Rattus norvegicus: one gene and its partners. The protein of the gene in region 2 purifies or fractionates together with the protein of the main gene of each other region. This does not show direct contact. Links are inferred from orthologs where the notes say so. Each region holds a gene or a part of one and is shown on either strand. Other genes may lie near its edges. The genes, in order: Cttnbp2, Zranb1, Fbxw11, Strip1, Strn3, Gcc2 and Cttnbp2nl.

What was found.
Region 1: the proteins of Zranb1 (region 2) and Cttnbp2 purify together in Homo sapiens (affinity purification with mass spectrometry; 3 studies listed by BioGRID and IntAct, with this or other methods). This does not show direct contact. The link is inferred for Rattus norvegicus from reciprocal best matches to the Homo sapiens genes ZRANB1 and CTTNBP2.
Region 3: the proteins of Zranb1 (region 2) and Fbxw11 purify together in Homo sapiens (affinity purification with mass spectrometry; 3 studies listed by BioGRID and IntAct, with this or other methods). This does not show direct contact. The link is inferred for Rattus norvegicus from reciprocal best matches to the Homo sapiens genes ZRANB1 and FBXW11.
Region 4: the proteins of Zranb1 (region 2) and Strip1 purify together in Homo sapiens (affinity purification with mass spectrometry; 4 studies listed by BioGRID and IntAct, with this or other methods). This does not show direct contact. The link is inferred for Rattus norvegicus from reciprocal best matches to the Homo sapiens genes ZRANB1 and STRIP1.
Region 5: the proteins of Zranb1 (region 2) and Strn3 purify together in Homo sapiens (affinity purification with mass spectrometry; 4 studies listed by BioGRID and IntAct, with this or other methods). This does not show direct contact. The link is inferred for Rattus norvegicus from reciprocal best matches to the Homo sapiens genes ZRANB1 and STRN3.
Region 6: the proteins of Zranb1 (region 2) and Gcc2 purify together in Homo sapiens (affinity purification with mass spectrometry; 3 studies listed by BioGRID and IntAct, with this or other methods). This does not show direct contact. The link is inferred for Rattus norvegicus from reciprocal best matches to the Homo sapiens genes ZRANB1 and GCC2.
Region 7: the proteins of Zranb1 (region 2) and Cttnbp2nl purify together in Homo sapiens (affinity purification with mass spectrometry; 4 studies listed by BioGRID and IntAct, with this or other methods). This does not show direct contact. The link is inferred for Rattus norvegicus from reciprocal best matches to the Homo sapiens genes ZRANB1 and CTTNBP2NL.

The regions. Positions count from the first base shown.
Region 1 is NC_086022.1:47,836,541-47,840,040, reverse strand, and holds part of Cttnbp2 (cortactin-binding protein 2), read left to right. Parts: intron 1-1,792; coding exon of another isoform or gene 1,793-1,832; intron 1,833-3,213; coding exon 3,214-3,417; intron 3,418-3,500. UniProt on the Homo sapiens protein: Regulates the dendritic spine distribution of CTTN/cortactin in hippocampal neurons, and thus controls dendritic spinogenesis and dendritic spine maintenance.
Region 2 is NC_086019.1:197,153,939-197,158,233, forward strand, and holds the start of Zranb1 (zinc finger RANBP2-type containing 1), read left to right. Parts: upstream 1-1,495; 5' UTR 1,496-1,629; intron 1,630-4,295. UniProt on the Homo sapiens protein: Ubiquitin thioesterase, which specifically hydrolyzes 'Lys-29'-linked and 'Lys-33'-linked diubiquitin. Also cleaves 'Lys-63'-linked chains, but with 40-fold less efficiency compared to 'Lys-29'-linked ones.
Region 3 is NC_086028.1:17,735,891-17,739,996, reverse strand, and holds the start of Fbxw11 (F-box/WD repeat-containing protein 11), read right to left. Parts: upstream 2,801-4,106; 5' UTR 2,657-2,800; coding exon 2,612-2,656; intron 1-2,611.
Region 4 is NC_086020.1:197,946,516-197,950,015, forward strand, and holds part of Strip1 (striatin-interacting protein 1), read right to left. Parts: intron 2,921-3,500; coding exon 2,814-2,920; intron 2,704-2,813; coding exon 2,576-2,703; intron 1-2,575. UniProt on the Homo sapiens protein: Plays a role in the regulation of cell morphology and cytoskeletal organization. Required in the cortical actin filament dynamics and cell shape. Part of the striatin-interacting phosphatase and kinase (STRIPAK) complexes.
Region 5 is NC_086024.1:74,827,974-74,831,473, forward strand, and holds part of Strn3 (striatin-3), read right to left. Parts: intron 2,457-3,500; coding exon 2,378-2,456; intron 758-2,377; coding exon 584-757; intron 1-583. UniProt on the Homo sapiens protein: Calmodulin-binding scaffolding protein which is the center of the striatin-interacting phosphatase and kinase (STRIPAK) complexes.
Region 6 is NC_086038.1:26,821,582-26,825,081, reverse strand, and holds part of Gcc2 (GRIP and coiled-coil domain-containing protein 2), read right to left. Parts: intron 2,778-3,500; coding exon 2,560-2,777; intron 903-2,559; coding exon 708-902; intron 1-707. UniProt on the Homo sapiens protein: Golgin which probably tethers transport vesicles to the trans-Golgi network (TGN) and regulates vesicular transport between the endosomes and the Golgi.
Region 7 is NC_086020.1:195,240,104-195,244,306, forward strand, and holds the start of Cttnbp2nl (CTTNBP2 N-terminal-like protein), read right to left. Parts: upstream 2,801-4,203; 5' UTR 2,767-2,800; intron 2,102-2,766; exon of another isoform or gene 1,965-2,101; intron 1-1,964. UniProt on the Homo sapiens protein: Regulates lamellipodial actin dynamics in a CTTN-dependent manner. Associates with core striatin-interacting phosphatase and kinase (STRIPAK) complex to form CTTNBP2NL-STRIPAK complexes.

The DNA of each region.
Region 1 (3,500 bases), on a different chromosome or scaffold from region 2:
TATTCCTCTTTGCCCTGGAACCTGGGATCTTTCTCTTGAGATGCCCTGTGTCCCTGCCACCTCTGTCTGTAACAGTGAGGTGAAATCCCAGTGAAAAGCCGGAGTGGCAGAGGGGTCTCATTTTAATGGGTTGCGTTCTAAAGTACGCTAACCAGAGGTGACCTCATAACAAATCATGAACTCTTAAAATAGTGTTTTAAATTGTAAATGAATTAGAAATTCTTACCAATTTGTCAAATGAATATATAATATATAATGTATAATATACACATATATTTATATATTATATATGATATATTCCAATGGTTACATGAAGAAGGTTAAAATAGGAATCACTCCAGGCAACTGAATCCCCAAACCTTTGCAAATTTTTCTGTTTCCCTTCCTTCCTTCCTTCCTTCCTTCCTTCCTTCCTTCCTTCCTTCCTTCCTCTCTTTCTTCTTTGTGATTGTTTTTCTTGTTGATATTATTTATTTTATTACTATTATTTATTTTATGAATTCCATTTCATTTGGTTCAGACTTTTTTCCTTCCTTAAAGATATTTTCTAAAGTATACTCGTGTATGATTGGCTTGAATGCTAAATCGCAAAATCAGAATGGTCTGGGCTGTGACCTTAACCCTCTCCACCCTCTGAAGCTGGTGCCAGAAGCTGTTCTCAGCTCCTTTTCCTCTGCCCTTGCATGTCCCCATGTTTTGTGGCCTGCTATGCAAATCCTCACCTTTACTAGCGTTTGCCTACAATGCCGTGTAGCCGAATGACTTTCTAACACCTGTAGAGTAGCTGTGTGGACTCGGGTTTATTCTGTCCTTAACTAATCCAGTTAATCACATATTACCATTTCTCTCATGGCTGAGAATTTCAGATGAATACTAATGTTTAGTGAGGTCTTTCTTTTAATTCCAACATATAAGTAACAGGAGTTCTTAAAATAAATTGTATTGGGAGAAAACTGGAAATTATAGTAAAAAAATAACATTTGTTTAAATTTAAGAGCTTAAAGTTTACAATATTTTCAAAACGTTTTCTTTTGTGAAGATTTAGAGACCATTTTTTTTCAGTCCTCCAAAGAAACTGATACTGCTTTCTTTGAATCTGACTGGAAAAGCAACAACACTTCATGACCTTATGATTAATAACATTTTTGAATAAAGCCTTTTACTGCTCTCAAGTGGGGTCTTCCAGAAAATTATACACATAATTGAATATTTCCATATAAACCCATATAAAACAATTGGAAATGTGAATTTGTATTGTCTCTTACAAAGCCTAGAACTGTGGTTTAAACTAAAAGATGAGCAAACTTTAGTATGTACACATTGGTATTCATGGAAGACTGTCAAGAACCTAGATTCCTTGAATGAGATGTAAAGAAGAGATGAGTGTGTGTGCACGCATGTGTACAGATGTGCGTGTGTGTATGCATGTGTGCATGTACATGTGTGCCTGTGTGCATGAGTGCGGTGTGTGTGTGTGTGTATGTGTGTGTGTGTGTGCACGCGCGCGCAGATGTTTGCGTGGGTGCATGAGTGTGTGTATGCATGTGTACAGGTATGTATGTGTGTATGAGTGTGTGTGTACATGAGTATGTATGTGTGTGTGTTTATAGCATGAAGCAGACCCCCCCATCCCTGTTCTGCTGGGGACGGTAGTGTAATGCTTTCTTATTGCTTGTTAATTACAGTCAAGGTGTCCTACCTTGGTGTTTATAATTTTCTGTCTATCATCCATTTCTAATAAGTACTGATTTAATTTTTGTGGGCCTGTTTTTTTTGTTTGTTTGTTTTTAAGAAAATACAAAAGGTAAAATGTACCAGAGAGGAGCCTTCTTGTAAGTATGAAGTAAAAATACTACTTTTCTAAGAAGACCTAATCAATATGGATGGGAAAATATAAAGATTTGAGAAATATTGAATTTTATAAACATTTTAATTGTCTGTCATTGCTGTCCTGATATGATAAAACAATAAGTAATCCGTGGATTCAAATTATTAGTTGTAAAGATATAATTTTGAGATTCAATCTTCCATGGATTTCTATTGGCATAAATGGCCTCTCTGACTTATTTTTATAAAGAATTTTCAATATTCAGAGGAGTTTCTTTGATATGTACTTTAAATATATCCTGAAAGAAGTAAAGCCAAAAACTTGTGATTAATCATAAGAATTGAATATTACATTCATATTAGTGTAACTGATACTGATAGCTATATAGCTATTCCCCATGGAAAGTCTGCATGAAGAATATATATGTGTAGTTATGTACAGAACTGCTGAAAAGTACTGGGGCTCACTCAATGTATTTAACCCGAAAGGACATAATTATCAATTAAATAAACATGTGTACTTTACTGTTTTTACAGCCTTTTGATCAAGGAAGGATTCAGAAAATTTTCCAGGCTATATGCAGCCGACTTCACACTCTTAACAGATTCTCTTCTAAAACTGCTAAATACTGATGAGAAAACTAACCATGATCATCTTGCAATCTTTGTTTAAAGCTGTGTGGTAGAGCACCCTGCTTTGTTGGCCAATCTCAAGTTTGTTAGTCCTGCAGTGAAGATGGCGAGAGGTGGCCGTTTTCAAAGTTTTCAGAGTTACTGAACTATGTTCTGTCGTACAATACAGCCATTTATATATATTGTATTTCTGTCAGCTTTTAACACCCATATTTGTTTCTTAGATTTGAAATGAAGGAATAGGACAAACTCCTTGATAGAGTGAGGCCTATTTCCTGGTTTATACAAATAATTATCTTAGAAGCATTGTTGAAGAAACTCTTTGCAGTTATGGTGGTATCTCACACTTACTTAATTTACATTGCCATATCAGTATTGAAATTAAGGTAACCTTTATATAATCTTAAAATTCAAAATGATCTTAAATTCTAAATAGAAATTTAAGTTTGTGGAATGTGGTAGCCGTCTCGGCCTCCTAAAAGCAATTATTTCTTTAACTCTTTTTTCTTGTGCCAAACTGACGACTAAAAATAACATGCCCCCCCATCAAGGTTAATTTAATTAGCACCAGATAGAAAGTCTGAAAATAACAGTACGGATTTATGCTAAGACAGTATTAACAGATTGATAATGTTAGAAACCATGTAATCTTCTAGAAATACGTGTTCCTGTCTCTGTGTGTGTGATTGAAAAAAGAATGGTAGTTTCTGTCTCTTCTTCCTGCTGTCTAACTAGGGTCACTTTAACCTACAGGCTGGTCACCCTCCCTAACCCCTTTGCTAATGAGTGGTGGTCCTGCCCCCCTGGCTGGCAGGCCCACCCTTCTTCAGCAAGCTGCTGCCCAGGGAAATGTCACTCTATTATCAATGCTGCTTAATGAAGAAGGACTGGACATAAATTACTGCTGTGAAGATAGCCATTCTGCCTTGTATTCTGCTGCTAAGAATGGACATACAGGTAAAAAGACAAAACAAACCAAAACTGAACAGACTGACAATGCCTTACCTTAACACACTTGGCAAGAGGATGAAAGACCAAAG
Region 2 (4,295 bases):
TGGTTGAGGAACCGGAAAAGGATGGCGGGGTGATACATGATTGGTCCTCGCGCTTATTCAAACTTAAGCAAGTTTTGAGCGGGCAAAAGGGATATCTGGGGTCACACAGATGTTCTTTGTGGCTTTTCTCGGAACTCTGGGTTCAGGGTGGAGGACGTTGTTTACACGCTTGGAGTACAGCTATCTGATTTCATGGCACCTCCGAGTTCCTGGAACACAAACTTCCCAGTACATGGGTCATGTAAGAGTTAACTTGTACAGGCTGAAAGTCAGGTTTAGGCCTTGAGTGGGTGGGCGACAGGGACGAGTTTTTGAAAAACATTTCAATACAAGTGAGTGTGGGTGCTGGTAGAGGCCACAAAAGGGCACTGAATCCCCGTAGCTGGAGTTACAGATTACTGTACTCCACTGAAGTGGCTGCTGGGAACTGAACTCAACTCTGGGTCTTTGCGAGAGCTGGAAGTACTCTTATATGTTGGCTGTTTCTCCAGCCCCCATATTCTTTCGTTTTTTTTAATTAATTAATTTATTTCTTTTGTGTGTAGCTCAGAGAACAACTGTGGGAGTTAGTTCTCTTCTTCCACTATGTAGGTACTGGGGATGGAACTCGGGCTGTCAAGCTTGGCAACTTCACTATAAAAATAAATGGTAGTTGAAACCAAGTGTAGTGGTGGCATACTTTTAAGTCCGGCATTCTGGAGGCTGAGGCTCTCAGCTACTTAGAAGGATTAGAAATAAACTGGGCTACAAGAGAACCTCGTCTGAAAACAAGTAAAAAGCAAAGTAAGCAGGGCTTGTAATCTCAGCGCTCTTGGGGAGGCTGAGGCAAGAAGATCATTTAAGAGTTCCAGGCCAGCCTGAGCCACAGAATGAAAGCCTGTGTTAAATTATGGAAATTTAAAAAAGGTTTTAAATGTCCTAAGGAACCGCCAAGCAGCATCCCAGTTAGCAAACAGCTCATTCCTGAGACGCAAGACTCGCGCTAGTTCAAAGCTCTGGGGACTCAGCTGTAAGAGCCCACGGCGGTCCCGGAAACCCGACTCCTACCTTCCAGGCGTATCCTGCACTTTTATTTGAGGAAACTCGCCACCCGGGAGGATGCGTGGCAGGACCGCGCGGGCTCTAGCCTCACAATCAGGACGCATGCTGCTGACATCACGGCCTCGGCCCGCCTCCTGCTCCGGGAAAGAGGCGATCACCTATTGGCTGCGCCTCCTGAGGCCTCGGGACCAATCACAGGACGGTGAGCAGCAAGGTCCAGTTCCTGACGTTGTGCAGCCGCCGCGGGGTTTATTTAGCTCTAGGGTCTTGACCGCCGCCATTCGGAGTCTTCAGCGCCCGAGGCCATCCTCAGTCTGCTCCGCCCCTGTCCCCGAGCCTCGGCCCCCGCCTCCGCGCCGCCTCTCCGCCCCTCGGGCCGCTGGGAGCCGCGCGCGGGCCCGCGGAGAACATGTCCTGACTGAGGCGGGAGGGCGGAGGCGGCAGCAGCGGGGTGGGCGGCGGCGCCGAGGGAGGCGGAGAGGGGCCGGGCTCGGCTCGTCGCCGCGGGCCGTGCGGGAGTCGCCGCCGCCGCCGCGGCCGCCCGGCGCCGCGCGTCAGACGGGGAGGAGGAGGAGTCGCGGCCGCCAGGTAACCGGGCCTGGGTTGGGGGCGCCGCGCCGCAGGCCCCTCGCGGGTCGACCGCGGCCTGACGGGGCGTCGCGGGGCGCAGGCTGCCGAGCCTCCGGGCAGCAGCGTTGCGGGATAGCGCATCGCAGGCCCGGGGTTGTCCGCGGCCGCGCGTCCATCTTGGGCTTTCCGGCGCGGGGACAACCCGGGGGATGAGGGAGAGTAGCCCGCCCGGCTTGTTTACCGATCTGATTTGGCCGCCGTCGGCTGTCTGGCTGGCAGCCTCATTCTGCCCTTCTGCCCGCCTCATTCCGGCGACTAGAATTCCTCCCGAGTCCGAGTGTGTGGGTCTTATTCCCACTTCTCAGTAGGCCGTATACACCCGAATTCGTCGCTCTAAGTTGGTGCTGATCTCCAAACTTGTGTTTTGGTCCCTTGTCCACTTTCTCTCCGCCTCATACTTGCCTCTCCGTAGTTGCCTAAAGCAAATCAGGGTGAGAGTTGATGTCTTGTGGCCATGGGCAGCTGGAACTCCGCTCCTGGTAACGATCGCTCTGTGCAACTACCTTGTGGTTTTTGTTGTTTTGTTTTGTTTTTCTGCTCAAATTTGGCCGGTCATTGCACAGACAAAAGAGCTGTAATACTTGATATTAGCGCCGGGGAGAGGCAGTTTAGGTTATGCAGGAAGTTTGAACCCGCCCATTATCTTGGAGACACTGGTGTTTTGAAACCACCTTGCTTAGAATTTTGTATCTCAGCCCCTCGATTTCCCCCTTCGGTTACCCCCTAAGTCACTGTTATAAGTCCCTCCCACTGCTCGTAATGTTTGGTCTCTATAGTTGACCTGTGATGATGTTAATAAACGTGATGTGCAAATACTTGGAAATGTTATATAATGAGTGGCTCCTGTACCCCGCGGTCTCTCAGTTAATCCCTTATTAACTTTTGCTACATGCATGGTACCTCGGTTGAACAAACATGGGTGACTTTGTTTACATAGAGAAGACAGGGGAGACCCGAGGATCTTTGTGACAGAAGCTATTAGAAAGTCGGCTGAACTATGCTTGGGAAAAGTAAAGCTGGAACCTGTTAAATATTATTTTAATTAAATGAGGTAATTCGGTAATTCAAAAGTATATTTAGAAGTTTGCTCTTTTGATTTTGGGGCTCTTAAAATAGTCTCTTTAAATTTTTGTAACTTTTTGTAAATTTTGTAAATTTTTGTAAATTTTTTTTTTGGCCTGTGAGGGGTTAAGAGGCAGGACAATAATGAGGCATTTTACTTTTTCTGAGGAGGATGTTACTTGAATGCTCTGGAAGATTTTTACTGGTTGTTTTAACAACCTTTTATTAGTGCTGCTGAGCATTGCGGCACCCATTTATTTACTCTTGAAATGTGCTTGAGGTAGTAGATGAACTTACAATTCATGGTAATATATTTTAAACTAATGGCCTTGATCCATATATGTGTACTGATAGGGGTTGTGGCATATCAATTTTAAGTCTGAGGATTAGGCCGGGCAAGGTAGTGAATGCCTTTAATCCCAGCACTCAGGTGGCAGAGGTCTCTGAGTTCTAGGCTATACTGGTCTACAGAGCGAGTTTCTTGAGAGTCAAGGTTACACAGAGAAACCCTGTTCCCCCAAAACCATAAATAAATGAAGTCTGAGCATTAACATTAGTTCAGTTGTACAATGTTTAAGGTAAATTGATTTATGTGTAATTGATACAGTGAGAGCTGTTACTTGTACTTTATATTTATACTGCTTTTATAAAAATCAGTTAAAACTTAAAAGTAGGGGGTTGGGGATTTAGCTCAGTGGTAGAGCGCTTGCCTAGGAAGCGCAAGGCCCTGGGTTCGGTCCCCAGCTCCGAAAAAAAGAACCAAAAAAAAAAAAACAAAAACAAAAACAAAAAACTTAAAAGTAGTTGCAAAAGTAGGGTGTTAACTTTTTATATAACTTGGTTTGGTTTTATTTGAGCATTGCTATGGCTTCTCCTCTTCCTTAGAAATACCTTCTTGTTTGAACACTTTTTCTTCCAGTTTGTAGTGGTTTATTTGGAATGTTTGTGTCTCTTTATACCTTAGGTATATTTTCTGTATTTAAGTACACTGACACCTCTGAAGGGCAGTGGTGGTTCATACCATTATTTCCAGCACTCAGGAGGCCAAGGCTGGTGGATCTTTGAGTTCAAGGCCATTGTGGTTTACAGAGTGAGTTCCAGGACAGCCAGGGCTACACAGAGAAACACTAATTCAAAAAACAAAACACCACCCCCCCCAAAAAAAAGAAACCCAAAAAACAACACCAGCACGTTCACTTCTTACCACAATATATAAACTTACAGAAATGAAAAAAAAGTCAAACTCCTTTTCGTGTTCAAATTTCTCAGTAGTTGATCTTGATATATATACTTTAATCTTAATTCTTCACTATGTGAAGCTCAGGCCAGCTAAACTTAAGTTGTTTCTGTATAGTCCCCCTCTTGGCCTTTATTTATTTTACCCCTTTTTACTGTACATCAAGTTAAGTGCAATCTCCGAAGCACCCCTTTGAGAACTTAACTTGGAGGGATGTATTTGCTCTTTTGCATGATACTTTCCACCTTTTTTTCCTTAGTCTCTGGTAGCGTAGATTTCTTTTTATGACTTCTGTTTCCCAACTGTATTTTTAAGGCCCTGAGAA
Region 3 (4,106 bases), on a different chromosome or scaffold from region 2:
GGTACCAACGATTTGGAAAAACTGTAGCTGCACACCTTATAAATGACTCAAGCAACGAGCCATACGCATAGACAGTAAATCAGATCCAGCAATGCAGGCCTCGGCACTACAATCTTTAGGGGGTTTGAGACTGACTTTTGGTTGGTTGTGGTTTTTTTGTTTGTTTGGTCTTTGTTTTGGTTGGTTTGGGGGATTTCATTTATTTGTTTAGGTTTTGAGAGACAGGGTTTCTCTGTGTAGTTCTGGTTGTCCTGGAACTCACTTTGTAGACCAGGCTGACTAACTCACAGAGATTCACCTGTCTCTGCTTCCTGAGAACTGGGATTAAAAGCATGTGCCACCATGCCTGGCACATTTTTTTATTACATTTCTAAGAATCCTACATTAAATCCCTTTTATGTCTTCATTAGGTGACATCTCTTCAATGTAAGGGCAAACAATATCACACAGTCTAACCCAGCCATGAGGATTTTATGGACACTAAGGAAGCATGTGCTCTACCACTAAGGTGCACCCCAGCACCTTAACAGTTACTCAAAACAAAACAGTTATAAGCTTAGAAAACCAGTAAGTGTGGGCCAGAATATTTCTTTAGTCATATGCTAAAAGACCATGCCTGAGGTTAATTACACTGTATTTCTTCTAACTCTCCTGAAAAAGAAGACATTTTGGTTGTTTTAAGTGAATATGTTTCATATGAAGCACTGGTCATTATGAAAGCAGATATACTGTTTTGTCTTTAAGAAGATGGAACATGTATCTTCATACATGAAGATACTTTGACACTTTGCCAAAAAAGAGGTCATCAGGATGGCTCAACCAAAGACACGTGATCATACATGCAGAACGAAATGAGTTCAAGTCCCAGAACCCAGGTAAAAGCAGAAGAGAATCTTTACAACATGGTCCTCTGACCTCCACAGGCCCACTGTGGTGCACGTGTGAATTCACATTAATACATAAGGCACGTTTTAAAGACATTTTGTCAAAATAACGGACTACTAAAGTTTCCCAAACTGTTACAACCGACAATTGGATGCTGAAAAAGAAAAAAGGTCCTCAGAACCTGAAGATAAAGTGACAGAATCCCTGTGAACACACACACACACACACACACACACACACACACACACACACCCCAGAAACTTCCAGGTTTGATTTTTCAACCATCCAGTTCTGCACATTGTGCTGAGTCCAGCAGACATGAGACTCTGTAGTTATGCTACTATTACTTCCATTTTAAACGTGTACCTTAGCTCCCTGGACAACATCATCCACAAAAACCATGGGCTATCCAACAGACTTTCAGTATCACCATTTATTATTTATAGCACTAAATGGGGGAAGTGGCTCTGATGTCACCAACCCTACCCAGTGGAATCACTGACTCAATAAGCATTTCACACTGGAGAAACTCTGACGAGGAAAACACATTGCTAAGTTCAGTAGATCGTTCACCTTTCCTCAGTACTGTGCGGCAGATACTAGTTGTTACGATATTAGTAGAGATACAAAGAAACTGTCAAGGTTTTCACAGGAAGAAGCCTTTCTTATGTCCCCAACTCTCCTGGGCCCAGTTTGATTTCCCTCACGTTCAAACTGGCAGGTACTACCAGCCATACTTTATTTCTTCCACCAATAAGCAAATCCTTCACTTTCCCAGCCATTCACTCACAGCCCTGTTTCCAAAAACCTTTCTAGCACCAAGTCTGAGGTCAGAAATGGGTTAGGGGTGTCCGGGAAGACCTGACCAACCTGGCTACCAAGGGTTTCTAACAGTAAAGGGATCGCTGCTTCTCGGTGGGTCAAGAACACCCCCACACACACACCGTCCCGCTTTTTATTATTAAAAGAAAAGAGGGTGGCAGTGATGAAGGCGACCTCTTCTCCCTCCCCTCTCATTTCCCAAATGATAAAGTTATGGTTTTCCTTTTCTGGGGGATGGAATTCTGAGTACCTAGGGCCCTGCTATACAAACATCCTTCACGGCAGGGTAGGAAACCCTTTGTCCAAGAAGCCTGACACCGCAGGGGCTCGGAAAAGAGGCCCCTTATCCCCTACAGCCTCAGACTCGTGGGCATGCCCAACATCCCAGTCCTGAAGGGCCTATCCTGGCATCCACACAGCGGTAGCTTGGGGTGAGGGTGCTGAGACCCACCGCCACCCCACCCCCTAAGCCTAGGTTACGGAGGCCGAAGCGGCTCCAACTGGTCTCGGACAACCTCCCACCACCATCACCCTCGGCTTGAGCGGGGCTGGGAAGCGCGATGCAGGCCTGGCAGAGGAATCCAGGGAAGGGAAAAAGAAATCCCCTTCTAAAAAGACAGTGTGATGGCAAGGCGAGAGTGAGCGGTGGCTCCGGCAGGAGCGAGGCAGGGGCGCCCGAGACTGGTCGGAGCCCGGCAAGGAGCGGGGAGGGGGTGGGGGAGTTCGCGGGGAGCGGAGGCCGGGCCGGCCCAAGAGCGCGAGGCGTCAGCAGCGAGCCGTAGCAGGGGGCCGGCCGGGCCCAGGCGACGGGGAACGAGGGCTGGCCTGGCGCGGACGCCGAGGTGGGCAGGCCCCCGGGCCGCCGGCCGGCCGGAAGAACTGAAGGCCAGCGGGCCGCACTCACCATGAGCTCGATGGTCTTGTCTTCAATCACCGAGTCGGGCTCCATGGCGGCCCCGGCGGCCCCGCCTCGCTCTCTCCGCTCAGCAGCGAACGGCCCGGGCGGAGGAGGCGGTGGCAGCGGCGGCGGCGGAGGCAGCTCTGGCACCCACTCTAGCTGCCAGCCCGCCCGGGCCGCCGGCAGCTCCGCCCTCCCCCTCGGCGGACGCAGGACGCACGGCGAAGACTACAACTCCCAACAACCGCGGCGGATCGCTAAGCCTTATGGGAACAAGAAGCCGTCGGGCCACTCTGCCAGGGTTCCGCCACGGGAGAGAGCACCTAGGGGAGGGCAGGGCTGGGAGTGCGGGGACATGCAGATCTGGAGTATCTAGGACTTGCTCGGGATAGGGCCTCGCGAGCGCCGCGACTACTTGTCCCAGAAATCCTCGCGCGCGCGGTCTCCTTCCGGTTGGTCGTTCCAGACTTCCTGGCAGCGGGTGGCTGCCCGGACCCGGACGGAAACTCCGAGGCAACTCCTCACTTGTCTGAGATCTTTGCGGTGCGACCGATTTCCGCACATGCGCAGTAGTTGTCTGCAGTGCCCACTGGTCGTCTAGGTGCTTGCGCGGCCGCCCGGTGTATTACACTTGGTAGGGACAGATGGTGGAGACAGGTGGGTCCGAGGTTGCACCAGGAGGTGTGGGAGGGGTCTGTGAGCCCGAAGATCCAACCAAGGGAAGATGGACATCTCAAGAGGAAAAGTTTGGAGGCTTGAGTTGGGAAACAGATGTATGGAGAGCTGCTACACTGGAAGTAGCTGAGCCATGAGAAAGAAGCTGATCATTTTGAAGACATTTTTAAGCATTCCGTTGCTACTAGTACTGCCCTAAGCTCTGGAAATGACAGGCGAGACCTCTGTTCTCGTGAAGCTTAATTCTAATGGGAAGACAGCAGACATTCACCAAGAGTTAGAAATGCTGTGAAGAAACACATCTAGAGACTTCCAGTGAACTCTTCCTCTTAACTCTGTGTGCCCTCCAAGTTGTCAGTACCCTCAAACCAAAAACCCCCAGGAATACGCTGTAGTTAAACAAGGTGGGTTTATTTTAGCTGAACTAGAAGAGAACATGCACCACGATGAATCATGGACGTCTCAGTAAGAGACATTAGGTAATGTAGAAAAGGATTTGAAGGGGCTCTGGAGCGCATACTGCCAGGAAGTGGGGGTAATAAGGTTGGACACCTTATCTATGGGAAGTTATATTAGATTGAAACTAATCCAGTAATTGATGACAGCCTCTTGTAGCCGTGTGTCAGGGGCTTAGACAATGTTCATGTTTTATCTGTGTTCACGAGTAATTATGGAGTGGTCTTGTTTTTGTCTTGATCCATAAGATAAGGCCGTTCTGTGGCCTTGTCTAATGTTAATGGTCTGTGAAGTTGTTTATGTTTTACTGGAGATCTGGCTGTAGAAACCAAGCTCTGGCTATTATCGTGTATCTCGAGGGCCTGGCTCA
Region 4 (3,500 bases), on a different chromosome or scaffold from region 2:
AGTAGAGCCAGTTCTTTCCAAGGTCAGCAGATTAATGCTTCAAAACCACACATGTCAATCTTCCAATGACTGAAACACACTGTGCACAGCTCAGATAAAATGATAAATTAAAACAAAATAGAAAGCTGTCCAAAGCCCTCACAGAGGCCCAGGCTCTGGCTGCTCAGTGCCACTGACCCCAAGTAACTTAGCCTTCCTCTCAGCCTGAGTGGGGCTTCCTGAGGAACCAGCAGGTCTGGTCAAGATAAAGCTTATACACACATTACGAGGTCTTAAACTCACTAAGCTCTGGTGGCAGAGCATCCTGGAGAGAGGGCTTCTTGCTTGCCCAGGGCTTGGTTTCTGACAATGTCCCCATCCTAAGTGTGATGGCCAGTCCACCCAGTATCCATCCTCTCCCCAGGTGGAAACAGAGTCCATTTCACAACATATCCTCGGAAACACACAACCTAGAGGCTCACTCTTGCTTCCTTTAAAAGACATCTTGGTGGGTGGAGAGAGAGTTCGGATGTTCAAGGCTAGGCACATAATACAGAAGTCATCTGCCCAGTAGATTTTCATTGCCCCAAACCACTTAACAAATACAGGTTTGGGAGTGGTCTCCAAAGAGGCATCTTGTCTGAGGGTGAAGTTCTTGTATGACTGAGAAAACAGCTTTAAGAAAAGCTAGGGAGTCAATCTAGTGTCACCTGAAGGCCTGCACCAACCCCCAGGTTGTTTAGAGAAGGGGTCTTATTACCATGGAGCCTTTGCTGGCCTCAGACTCAGCGATCTGCCTGCCTCAGCCTCCTCAGACTCAGCGATCCGCCTGCCTCAGCCTCCTGAGTGCTGAGACTCAAGGTGTGGACCACCATGTCCTATATTTCTTTTTCATCTCTTTCCTGGAATTTTTTTTTTAAATTTATTTATTATTATGTTTATATGAGTACACTGTAGCTGTCTTCAGACACACCAGAAGAGGGCAACAGATCCCATTACAGATAGTTGTGAGCCACCATGTGGTTGCTGGGAATTGAACTCAGAACCTCTGGAAGAGCAGTCAGTGCTCTTAACCGCTGAGCCATATCTCCAGCCCCTGGAATTTTTTTTTTTAAACTGAGTCAGGCAGCAGATACTGACAAGGCTGAGGCAGGAATACTTCAAGTGTAAGGCCAGACCTTCTGTCAAAATAAAAAGTAAACAACTGAGAATGGCTCCATGGGTAATAGCACTTGTTTGCAAAAGATGAATGAGGATATGAGGTTGAATCCCCAGTGTTCATGTAAAAAGCCAGACAGCTGCATGTGAGATTGTAACCCCAACAGAGGTGGTAGAAACAGTAACACTTCTGGGGGCAGCACTGCTTGCTGGATACCAGCCTAGAACCAGGTTCCATTAGAGACCCTGTCCCATGGGAATACAACCAAGAATGAGAGAGCTGGATAGAGCAGGAAAGTGATGTCGCCTCTGGTCTCTGCACAAGGGTGTATGCAGCCATACAAGTGTGTGCATATACCACACACACATATATATACAAGTGTGTGCATATATCACACATAAATACACAAGTGTGTGCATATACCACACACATATATATACAAGTGTGTGCATATACCACACACACATATATATACAAGTGTGTGCATATACCACACATAAATATACAAGTGTATGCACATACCACACATATATACACAAGTGTGTGCATATACCACACACACATATATACACAAGTGTGTGCATATACCACACATAAATATACAAGTGTGTGCATATACCACACATAAATATACAAGTGTGTGCAATACCACACATAAATACACAAGTGTGTGCATATACCACACACACACATATATATATATACAAGTGTGTGTATATACCACACATATACCAAATATACATATACAAATAAAAAGTCAAAAAGAGTGCCAATGGGTGAGCTGGAGAGATGGCTCAGCAACTGGCTGTTCTTCCAGAGGACCTGAGTTCAATTCCCAGCAACCACATAGCAGCTCACACCTATGTGTAACTCCACGGGATCTGGTATCTTCACACAGAAAACACTAGTACATATAAAATAAAATAAATAAAACAAAACAAAGCGCTCCAGTGATGTAGCTCAGTGAAGTCTGATTGCCTAGCATGCACAGCAAGGTCCTGGGTTCAGTCTGAAGCGCCACTAAACATTTCTAAAACCAAGTAGCTACATATTCAGTACTCAAAAGAAATGTAGACATTCATTCATCATCACCCACGGGAGACTGGCTCTGGGAATTTCCCCTCACCTCTCTCCCATGGTAGATAGCACATCCCTCATTTGATGGAATGGTACTTGTGTTTAACCTATGCACAACCTTCTGCAAGCGTGAATCATCCCTAGATTATTTCTAATACCTAGTGGTACATGAATTATTGGTATAGTAGTTAGGGAGTAATAACAAGGTCCTTACAGTCAAGACCAATGCTGCAAAACTCATTCTACAACCTCAGACTATAACTCATGGATGTGAATCTACAGGTACAGAGGCCAACTGTATAAAGAGTCTCTTTCCCGCCCAGTGTCCTAGCATCCGAGTGCCCCCAAGAGGGTGCTCACCAATACAGTCTTCCAGAGCAGCAAGAGAACTTTCTTCATGGGGAAGTGGGGGGCATGGCCACTGCAAAACTTGGTCACCATCCCAAATAGCATGATGGCAAATGGCTCGTTGTTGTACAGAGGGGAACCTGGAAGTGACTCAAAGGTATTAGGACCCCAAGCAGCAACAGGACCCACCCAAAGCCCTTCGGACTCAGCTCCCAAGCAAGGCCTTAAGGGAGGAGCCCCAGGGTCCTACCCAGCTCAGCTCTGAAGGTCTGTCGCATCGTTCTCCACTCGGCCTTGTCACCATCGCAATCCTGGTGAACAGTCTCCACAATCAGGTACATGATGTTCAGCAGGACCCTGAGCACAAGAACCAGCTTGTGAGAGTAAGACGGGGACCAAGGGCATGCCTGTTACACCAGGTCTTAGAAAGCTGAGGCAGGAGGGTCTCGAGTTTCAGGTCAGCCTGGGCTACATAGTGAGCTCAAAGCTAGCCTAGGTCATGTATGAAGACAGTCTCAAACAAAGAAAAATGTGAGGGAGGAGCCCTTGGGCTTTCTAACTCCCTGACTTAGATGTAAACATCTGTGCATGGGGTAGGGATAGCTGTAATACAGAGACACCCGAGAAAAGAAATCACACCCGAAACCCTGAAGAGCAGAGGAGTATTTTAATCTTTCTTCCCAGACTATAACTCATTCTATTCTCTCAGCGTCTAAAAGGAGCTTACTCAAAGCTGACAAATATGAACAAGAATGGCCTAAAGAACTCACTGCCATAAGCCTCAGGGAAAGAAAAACAAAACAACATTACTTAAGAGTAAGTTACTAAGGTCAAAGCAGGGCAGGATTACAGAAAGGAAGACAGAGCCGACCAGATAGAGTGGAAAACAGGAGGTGAAATGCAGAGACCCTGACTAGAGTGAGGAGAACCACAGTTC
Region 5 (3,500 bases), on a different chromosome or scaffold from region 2:
CTGTCTAACTCCCAAACCCAGAAACGTCTTGAAGACTGCTCCCCTGTGGAGACTGTCCCTTACCAAAACTAGCTAATCCTGATTCAGTTGCACAACATGAACCCCTGCTTCCTTGTTCAGTTTTCCATAACACACACACTAAGCCTCCTGGGTGCTGCCCTTCTCCATCAGAGAGTCCAGGAAGCCATCCCAGTTTCCCTGTGTGTATGTGTCCAATGTCTGTCATTTCTTCATTCCCTTCCCACATCTAGTTAGGATTCTGGGACCCAAGAGGTACCAATCCATTTTATAAATTTTTTATGTAGCAAAAAAAAAAAAAAAAATGTCTTTAATCTGTTAAAATGTTTTCAAGTATTTCAAAACTACTCAGGTAACAGGTAATAACCATAATCTATTTTCCTAAACCTAATAATTTAAGTTTCTCTAATAAACAAAGTGGCTTCCATAGATTCATTTAATATCTAACAATAAATACAACTATAGAAAAGCTAGCAAAAGTGAGACTCTATGAAAAGTCTCTGTTGTACCACTGATTTTGATGTCCATAAGTTAAACGATGTTAATCAACAAATACAAATCATACCTTTTGATTTCTTGTCCTTTTTGTTTAGGAGATTCACCACCATTCAGGATCTGTTCTAAATTCTTTGCTTCTATGGATCCATTTGGCTCTGAATTAGACAGTCCAAGTAATGACCTTACCCGCTGAGATCGTACATCTAATATTGTATCTGTATATCCTACTTCCTGAAGATACCTATCAAGATAAAATTAAACACTAAAACTCAACAGACTGTCAACATCTGCCACCTTCAAATCATATTAAAGTTCACAATCACACAAATTATTCTTCGTCTCAATAACTTCATTATAGCCTAATTCCAGCTAATGATGTCAACTTTTAAGTCAAAATTGAAATATGGGTGCTAGGGATATTATTCACATGGTTTACAGCCATCCATAACTCACATTCCAGGATAGCTTATACCCTCCTCTGACTTATGTGGACACCCAGCATGCATACATCCAGACAAAATTCATGTACATAAAACAATCTTTTTGAAAAATGGATTAAGGCAGGTGTGGTGGCACACACCTCTGATCCCAGTACTCAGGATATGGAGGCCAGCCTAATCTACAGGTGTTCCAGGATAACCAGGGCTACACAGAGGATCCCTATCTTGAAAAAGCAGAAAGAAAGAAAGAAAGAAAGAAAGAAAGAAAGAAAGAAAGAAAGAGAGAGAGAGAGAGAGAGAGAGAGAGAGAGAGAGAGAGAAAGGGGAGGGGAGGAGAGGGGGGAGCATATAGTATGACTAACTGACATTGATTGAACCAATTATCTCAATACCTAAAAGAGCCTCAGTGTTGAAAAGCTTTTGAGATACATACACATGTGACATGCCTCTATACAGACATACATAAATATCTTTTAAAGAGTAGATATATAAATTTATACACACACACACACACACACACACACACACACACACACGGAGAAATGAAAAGATACTCATATGCAGAATAAAATAATTTCAACTAAAAGGATTTGGCAAGCCATCTTTAAAGAGTTTCAAATATCAATACTTCTCTATACCTCTCATACAAACACATGTGTGTAAACTTCGTAGTGAGAGTGTATGTACTACATGAATGACTATTTTTATGTTGCAGGTACTTTCCCTACATTTATGAAAGTATACAGGGCACACAGTACCTAGATTAAGATGACCAATAGAGGTCAGATAAGGGCACCGAATCCCCTGGAACTGGAGTTACAGATGTCTGTGAGCCACAATGTAGATGCTAAGAATCAAAACTGGAATGTCTGCAAGAGCAGCCAATGCTTTTAAATGCAGCCCAACTCCATATAAGCCATACTACTTCAGTTGAAGTCGTCATCCAGTTTTTGGTTTTTTTTGTTTTTTTTTTTTTCAGTTTTTCTACCACATAAGAAATAGGAGAGGAGAGGAGAGGAGAGGAGAGGAGAGGAGAGGAGAGGAGAGGAGAGGAGAGGAGAGGAGAGCGGGGCAAGGCAAGGACAAGAGAAGAGAAGGAGAGGAGAGGAGGCAAGAAAATAGTAGAAAGAAGTCAATGTCATCCTTCAGTAACAGCTGAGTGTATAAAGTGACCTATAGCCAAGCCTGATGACCGGGATCTAATCCCTGTGTCCCAAAGGTGAAAAGAGAGTCAATGCTGAAAGCTGCCCTCTCATCTCCACAAGCAGCTGTGGCTCATGCCTGTGCCCATGCCCACATAGATACAAATGTATTTTTAAAAGCAGCACTATGAAGTCATACAGTAAAATAATGTTTCTACGTATAAGTCGATTCAATGTAAGCACTTTCATAACTCCTTCTTAGCTGAAATCATTACTCACTGTCTTAACAGCTGTCTGCCTTGCTTCCACGTCAGCTGGCTGTTTTGGGCTGGAGGAGCCTCCGCATCTTTGGTTTCCTCTGCAAGTTAAAGAGGGCAAGTTTTGCACACGTTATTTCAACTTCTTATTAGAGTTCAGGGATTTTTTCAAAAATAAATTCACACATGAAAATATTTTATGTAAGACAGGAAAAAAGTTAAAGATTTACTATAGATCATTTCTTCTTTAATGTTTGGGCCATAACTTGGGTACTCTACCTGCTTTAAAATCAAAAGACCTCAGATGTGTTTTAGCAAGATCAAAAAACTGAAAGTCTGGATTTGAAAATAGAATTCTGCTGTGTCAAATACCTTTAAGATTAAAAAAAAAAAAATATCATCACTTATGCTATTTCAAATAACCAGAAACTGAGGATGGACAGACAGATAGACAGACACACGAGAGAGTGAGAGAGAGTGAGAGAGAGAGAGAGAGAGAGAGAGAGAGAGAGAGAGAGAGAGAGACTGACTGAGACTTCATTTTGAGAAAAATTTTTTTTCTTTTTATTTTCTTTTTTTCGGAGCTGGGGACCGAATCCAGGGCCTTGCGCTTACTAGGCAAGCGCTCTACCACTGAGCTAAATCCCCAACCCCTCATTTTGAAAATTTTATCAGTGATATTAAAGCCTCTATCATACTTTATTTTTTAGAACAAAAGATTCAGCTAGGAAACCAGGCTGCTGAATAGTGTCTAACTCCGATCACTGTGGTGGGCACACAGCTGGTGGAAAGAGCCTTTTCTTAGGTCCTAGTGCAGTTAATTTGCAGCCAGCCAAGCAGCCACTCATTCTTGGGACATTCAGACATCAGTCTGCAGATCTGTTGGGCCTCAGTTTTCCGTAAACCCAGTATGTTGTCAACATCTCCAAACGGAGTCCTAATCAAGTCCGTAAGTGTAAAGTAAGTAGCTCATTCTACTTAGCTGCAGTCAAAGGTTATCTGTTTAAAGAGCCTAGAGGAGACACTTAGAACCCGAGTCAGAGACAGACTTTTGGAAGACATCCGAAAGTGAATAGTTGCCTCCTCACTCCACTGATCCTTTATAGTTTATAGCTTAGAAATAAATACCTTTTATACACACAAAA
Region 6 (3,500 bases), on a different chromosome or scaffold from region 2:
GACCTTGGGCTGAAACTGTAAACTAAGACTAATTTCTCTTAAGTCACCTTTCTCAAGGATTTTGTTACAGTATCTGAATGGTGGCTAACACAATAGTCAGTATAAATGTGGTCTCAGAGCATCCTCTTGAATTCTGACAGTAATATTCATTACAGGTAAGAACAAAAAGGATACCAAAATTATACTGTATTTATCACAGTAAATTTGCCAATATTTCACTGTTTAAGGAGTAAACGGAAACTTAAGTTTCTTGGTGGGTAAAGGAACAGTTCATTTGCTTTCTAATAACATTGAAGACTTCTTTATGACTTCTAATGACTTCATCCTTTATCCTTTACTTCTGGCTCAGGCCTATACTTATGTTAATGTGTTATTTATTTATTTATTTATTCATTCATTCATTCATTCATTCATTCATTCATTCATTCATTCATTCAGCCCAAGGGTTTCTCTGACTGTCCTGGAACTCACTCTGTAGATTCAACGCACCTGCCTCTGTCTCCCAAGTGATGGGATTAAAGGTGTGCTCTCTACCACTTCCTGGCTACGTTTTTAGTTTTTAATTTAAAGAGATCTGTTTCACTCTGTAGTATCTTTCACTGGAATAGCTCGAAACAACATAAAAATCAGCGTAGTATTTATCAAACAAGCCAGCAAAAGTAAAAACAAAACGAACCAAGAACCATCATTCACACGAGGTGACCTACCAAGCTTGCTGTCAGGAGAGCTAAGGAGCTGCTCCAAGGACTGAATGTGTGTGCCGGCCGAAGACACAGACTCACTGTCAGTTGTCTCCATCCCTTCCCCCTCCTCTCGGGTCACAGTGTGCATGTCCAGAAGGGGGAGGTCTGTGGTCCGTCTTTCTCGGAGGCTTTTTGAAGGTTGATGGGAAGAAGCAGGGCCTAGTAAATATTTTAAAGGGTGAGTGAAATTGTTAAAAACAAATGGACTTGACCCCAGCATTTCTTTAATAAAGTTAAAGAAATTAAACAAGCAGCAAGTAAACAAATGGTATCTGAAGAAAGGATGCTACGTGGTTGGACTCGTTTAGTCACTTGACACTGAGCTGTGCCAATCATCCTACAGAAAGGATACACATTGCTATTTGCTGCCTATGATGAACAGTGGGCTGATGCTTACTCTGCTAACACCCATCCTTTCCACACGCTGCAGTGGGCCGACACTGCTGTCCTTTCTGCCATCTTGGCTGGTACTTAGTGCTGTCTGCTTACATCTCCAGTGTCCAGATTACAGAGCCCAGCACTCAGTGTAGGGAACCGTCAGTTACCATAGAACTCCTGGGCACGTGCCTTTAATCCTAACATTTGGTTGACATAGTGAGTCCCAGGCAAGCCAGGGCTACATAGTATGATTTATCTCAAAAAAGGATTTCTTGCTTGCTTATGACAAACACTTTTACAAACCTGTGAAGTTCGTAAGACTTCCAAAGACTTGATGAGGAATTGACTCTATGGAAGGTCTCATAGCTTAATCCAGAGTTTAAGTTTCAAAGTTCATTTATTTTCAATACTATCTTTCAATAACTGTCACCCCAGTCCTTTTAACCTCTGGCTGCCCATTTGGAGCATTTCCCTGAGTTTCTGACATTTTTACCAACTGCTTATTACACTGCTGATTCCTAATTACGACCCTCTTTGTTCAGCCCAGTTTTCTTTGGCTGATCATTTCCTTTTAAACTCTTGGTGCAAGTTAAATAAATTCTCCTAAGGTCAGTTTTTGACCTTGTTAAGTGGCCTGTGCCTGCCAATGCTCCAGGACATTTTTTTTTTCTATGGGAAATGAAGTGCCATGAACATAGGACTAAAACATCACTGTCATAACTCATGTTCTCTTGGCTTTTTCTGGAAGCAGAATAGAAGACATTGGGTGAAGCGACAATTCCACTTCACTAAAATCTGAGGGAAGAGGATGTACTGGCAAAAGACTGGACAAGCACAGTTCATAAGTCCTTAGCTCTGCCCAAAGCTTCCAACCAAGAACACATGTGTTTGAGGTAGAGTAATAGATGATAGGATTAGAACTCACGCTGTTAGACTGATAGGAGCATGTTTAAGCCAAACAAAACATAAATACACAGTTAGGAACATCAGTAGTCTAAGGCAATGCTTAGTATAAGTATAATCAAGAAGGGTTTACATGACTCACGTTTATGTCCAATAAGGAAATCAATAATTTATTAATCACAGAATCGACACAGGTTGTTTCCTTTAAATTTTACGTGTTTTTAATTATTACTATTATTATTTTTATTTTGGGTCTCGGTATTTTGCATGTATGTCTGTGGACTGTGTGCAGGCAGTGCCATCAGAGGTTGGAAGAGGGCATTGGATTGATTCCCTGTGACTGGAGTTACAGATGGATGTGAACCACCCAGTGGGTGCTGGGGATCAAACCCAGGTCCTCCGGAATGGTAGCAAGTACTCTTGACCACTGATCCATTCAACATTTTACTTTCTCATCAATTTGTGAGTGATGGTTTTATGTGATACACACATGTCGTAACATAAAGAGGTAATCCTTCCACACAGATGCACATACTTTTTGTGGGTGGCTCACTCTTGAGCTGGAAGAGCTGAGTTTCCACCTTGGAGAGCTGGTGCTGCAAGGTCTCCACTGTCTTTCTGTGCTCATCCTGCAAGTGTCGAACTTGGTCTCGGAAGCTGTTACGGAGGGCCTCATTCTGGGATGTCAGCTGACACATTGTCTGGGCGTGTTCAGACTTCAACATGGTGTTCTCAGATTGAGCTGAACATAACCTGAAGATAAGAAGAGCTAAATTCATATGACAGACTTGAACTAAGCTTGTTGAAGCAGCCTCCATGAGTTGGATTCTCTGGTTCAGTCCCCAGCACCATAGACACTGGACCCATTGGTATATCCTTATAATCTCAGCACAGAGGGGTGGAGGCAGGAGGATCAGAAGGTCACCCTCATCTACATAGAGTAAGACTAGCCTGGGAGACAGAAAGCCTTGTTAAACATTTAAACACACACACACACACACACACACACACACACACACACACACACACACACACACACACACACTATTCTATTTCTTCATATGTTTTTATGTAGGCAGCTCATATATGATCAATCTACCTATTTCATACTACCTTGAACATATGAAAAAAGATACTATTCATAATTAGAGTCCAAAGGAAAATATCGATTTTTGAGTGAATTAGCATGAAACACGCAGGTGCAAAGACCTGACTTATTACAGCTACTTCTAACTGTGATAGCACATCAGATTTGCTGGTTTATCTTGTAAAACAGTGACACCTACTTTTCATACTCTAGCTGCTGACTCTGTAATAGTGGTCCTGGAAATTGGCTACTGACAGCAGTTCTCCACTCGGGTTTGACACAGACAGTTAGCAGACCTACACTTTGGGAGCAACTACTTATATTAATTTAAGTTTATTCTTTTTATTATTACTGTATGTGAGTGAATGATGGGTGTGTGATGGGCAAAC
Region 7 (4,203 bases), on a different chromosome or scaffold from region 2:
GACTGAGAAAATGAGGCGGAAGCCATGGAGGATCAGGAACACCACTTACTGGCTTGCTCAGCCAGCTTTCTTATAGCACTCAGGCCCAAGCCTAAGGGGAGCACCGCCCAGAGTGGGCTGGGCACTCTCAACAACCACCACTAATCAAGAACACGCCCTACTGGCTTGCCCATGGGCCAATCAGATAGGGACATTTTCTCAACTGAAGTTTCCCTCTTCCCAGATGCCTCTAGCGTGTATGAAGTTGACATAAAACTAGCCGGCACACTAGGGTCAAATCAAATACTCAGAAATTACAATAAAAATTAACCAACAGTTCCTAGAGTGTTCTCCAGAACTCACCCCACCTCCACTAGGTCAGATTCTTATACATATATATCTGGCTCAGAATTCATGACAGTAAACATATATATATATATAAAACCTATCCAGAGATATTTTCTCATAGGAAAGTCAATATTTTAGCCACTTCAGATATTGCAATTTCCTATCATGTCAGATAAGGAAAAATCAAATTACACAAAGACAAGAAGGCGGATGGTTTAACAAGATGTGCCATACTTTATCAGTTTGTTATCTGTCTTGTTTGACTCTTATGTGAGAGCTTTAAACTAAATTCAGTGTTCCTATTAGGCACCGTGGAAGCTACAAGAACTTTTTGCAGTCAAAGAATAATTTAATGAAATGCACTAAACCCACACACACAAACTGTCTGCACACAATGCTTTTTTCATTTAACATGACCAAAAATGACAGTGAAAAGGTTATCGGAAAGAATTCTATCAGAGTTGAACATCATAGTACACGCTGTAATCCCAACAGGAGGGGAAGCCATCCTGGGCTACACAGTTTTCAGAAGCATAAGGAGACACAGTAGCACTCTTGATGAAACAAAACAAAACCAGCCCTCCAGATCAAAGGTATATTAAGCAGCTCTTGTTTATTGTGCCAAAACATCAGTGGCTTTATTCTGCTTTTCCTCTGTTTGTCAGGGCCCTGGAAATCACTACTCCTTAGGTTTCCCGACGTCTCCTACCTGGATTTATTTCCTGTTCTCCACTCATGTAATAAGATACATCTTTTGGGGGTTTCCTATTCTACTTCTAGTTTTTTTTTTTAAACCCCTGATGCTATTTCTGGGATAATGGATCTCTCCTTCCTATGGCAATAAACTTTGTGTTTGCAGGAGAGACCCTGTATACAGTTTCTTCTTTGTGCTTCCTTTCTCTAGGTGTCTGGAAACAATCACAGAGCCCTAGAGTGGCTCTGGAACCTGACTATTCAAAACTAATTACCTTCAGGAAGTCTACTCAGGAAGGCTACAGACAACAGCCACTACAATCGCCCTCTGTGACTGCAACTCTGCACCTCACATCTGTCGGCTATAAATAACCAACAGTAAAATGAACTCGGGATCAAAATTTAAAATGCCAAAAATATAGAAAAATTAATAGGTGGTACTGCTAGCCACAGCTGATGGTTAGAGATTCGATGACATTAACATCGGGACAGTCAACAAGGCTCTTGTTCTGAAATTGAAAACTACCTTTTATTTTAATGCTTTAAATTTTGGTTGATGATGCGGGCACGCCAGACAGAATCATATCACATGTAGATACGTTTTCTTTGAGATAAAATCTCATTATAAAACAGGGGTGAGATAGTACTCAGAGGCCACAGGACCAGATTAATTATAAACCTAGCCAACTGAACCTGAATTTTGTTCAAATACTTCCTGTCTTTTGTTTCAACCTGCCGTACACCTTCAAGGTTAACTGCAGTCTCCCGGAGCAACGGACCAGCCCACTACAAACTGAGAGATGGGGATTCCTACTGCAAAGGCATTTACTGACTTCTCCACACCGTTTCATTTGAAAATATGGTATTAATAACTGACTGTCAAACAATACACACTGCATTCCTACCCACACAAGGCTAACTCTGCTGAAAGCTAACACACCCACCTTGCTATGAAATATGCGGATGCTTTCCTATTAAGTTCTCAGGGAAGAAACCGGGTAGAAAGCAAAACTGAAAGGCAACTCAAACCTAAAAATCCCCCAAAAGCTGGCTTCTCCCACAAGAAAAATAAAGGGCGAGGAAGGTACAAAGGGCGAAGGGAAGAAGGTAATACATGATTTAAGCCGGGGAGCTCTCAACACTCAACAAGACAACACAGGATCTGGGGGGACCGTAGGAGCAATCAGAGGCTGGGGGATGGGAAGAGCTAAAGAGGGGAGAAGGCCGCTCTGACTGTTGGAGGTGTCTGTCTGGGTCTCGTCTTTTTTTTCCCTCCTCCTCGCCCATCCCTCATAAGAACAACGCTGTTTTTTTTTTTTTTAGATCTTATACAGCACCCTAGTTCTGGACCCAGACTTGCCAGCAGGGGCAGGTGTGGGAAGGGATGCCTGGACTTGCGGGGGTCCAATATAGGGGTGGGGGCTGCAGCTTAGAAACTGCACCCACCAGTCCCTCTCCGAGGCTAGGGCTGGGCAAAAGGCGACATGGAGTGAGACAGGTCAGGGGGAGACCCCTGCTAAAGGGCGGAGGCTGGCGAGAGACAATGAACAGTCGCGAGGACCCTGGAGGATGCCGCGACGCCTCCTCGGGGAATCCCGGGATCTGGAGGCGGCGGCCCCGCCCCCTAAGGGACCATCCCTACCCCGACAGGGACTGCTGCTGAAAGCCATACACGCTCCGGGCCGGGAGGCTCTCTCGGAGACCCGGCCACCCAGCACCGCAGAGCCCGGACCCCGCGCTCCGTACCTGGCCTCGGCGCTCCGGGATCCTTCCCCGCCGCCGCCTCCGCCGCCCGCTCCCCATCCCCAGCCTCCCAGGACCCGCCCCCTCATCCGCCGGCAGTGACCGGCAGATACCATAGCCAATTATAGTCTTGCCCTTGCGGCTCTGCAACCAATCCTCGCCGCCTGAAGGCTGGGCTTCTCCAAAGTCATCCCGGCTCCTCCTGGGGCTGCAAGATCCCTTTTGTTTGGGAGAGCCAGGCTGGGATTGAGCTGGCGTCACTTCCGGGAGGAAGTACCACCTCTGGTCGGCTGGAGTCTGGGTTCGCTCTGCTCTCCGCCTGGGCTCTGCAACTTTTCAGGATCCTGAGAACACCTTTTGGTGGCTTAATTTGGGGTTTATCCAAAATGTGAATAAAAGAAGTGAGTTTTAGCGTTTGTTTTAGAATTAGTTATTGAAAACCTAGTAACGTGTCTTCTTTGCTTCTCTCACTTTCTCTCTCTCTCTCTCTCTCTCTGCACTGACTTTTGGGTGTGGTGCTGGAAAGCAAGGGCACAAGACCATCTCCTTTAACACATCACACTGGGTACACAAAGGGAGACTCTGGGGTTGAACAGACAGGACAGCACCCGGTAGAGGAGGGCATAACCCCTGCCGACCTTCCTTTCAGGGCGAAGCCAAATAATTGCAAACTTACGCGCAGTTTTCCCACACTGTGCTTGCCTTTCATGAATGTGGGGCCCTCTTTTATATGTTTGGGCCCCGTCATACTGTGGGGAATGCGTTTTTAACGAAGCCAAAACAAAACAGTTGGATGAGGGGGAATGACTGTCCTTGTGAACACAGGAATGCAGATCTTAGTGATAAAAACAAGACCGGATAACCTGGAGGGAAGAGAACGCACTCTACCGTAGCCTGCACTTCAGCTCACAAGTGATTGACCACATTGTTTTAAAGAATTTGTAACAAGTACATGTAAGAAAACAAGTATTTAAGTGCACAAGTAACATGCTACTCTGAATACATTATTCCTAATCCTCACAATTATCAGCAGGAGAATATTAGGAATTTAATACTCTCTCTGCCTGTGGTTCTCAACCTGTGGGTTACAACCCCTCGGATAACCTTTATCTGTAAAAAAAAAAAAATACCTACATTACAATTTATAACAGCAAAATTACAGCTGTGAGTAGCAGCGAAATTATGGTTGAGCACCACAACGTGAGAAACTATATTAAAGGACAGCAGCACTAGGAAGGTTGAGAACCACTGCCCTAGGCAAACACAGTCCTCGAGACAGGTGCAGTTTACAGTCTGGGTAGAGAGATGCCCAGCCTGAGTAATCATGGTTTAGAGGAAGTAAAACAGTATTTCCTGTCAACACAGTGTTATGTTCATCCATATAATATCCGTGTCAGTGCTGTCATACCCTGTATAGTGGACATCACCGTGAGTGATTAT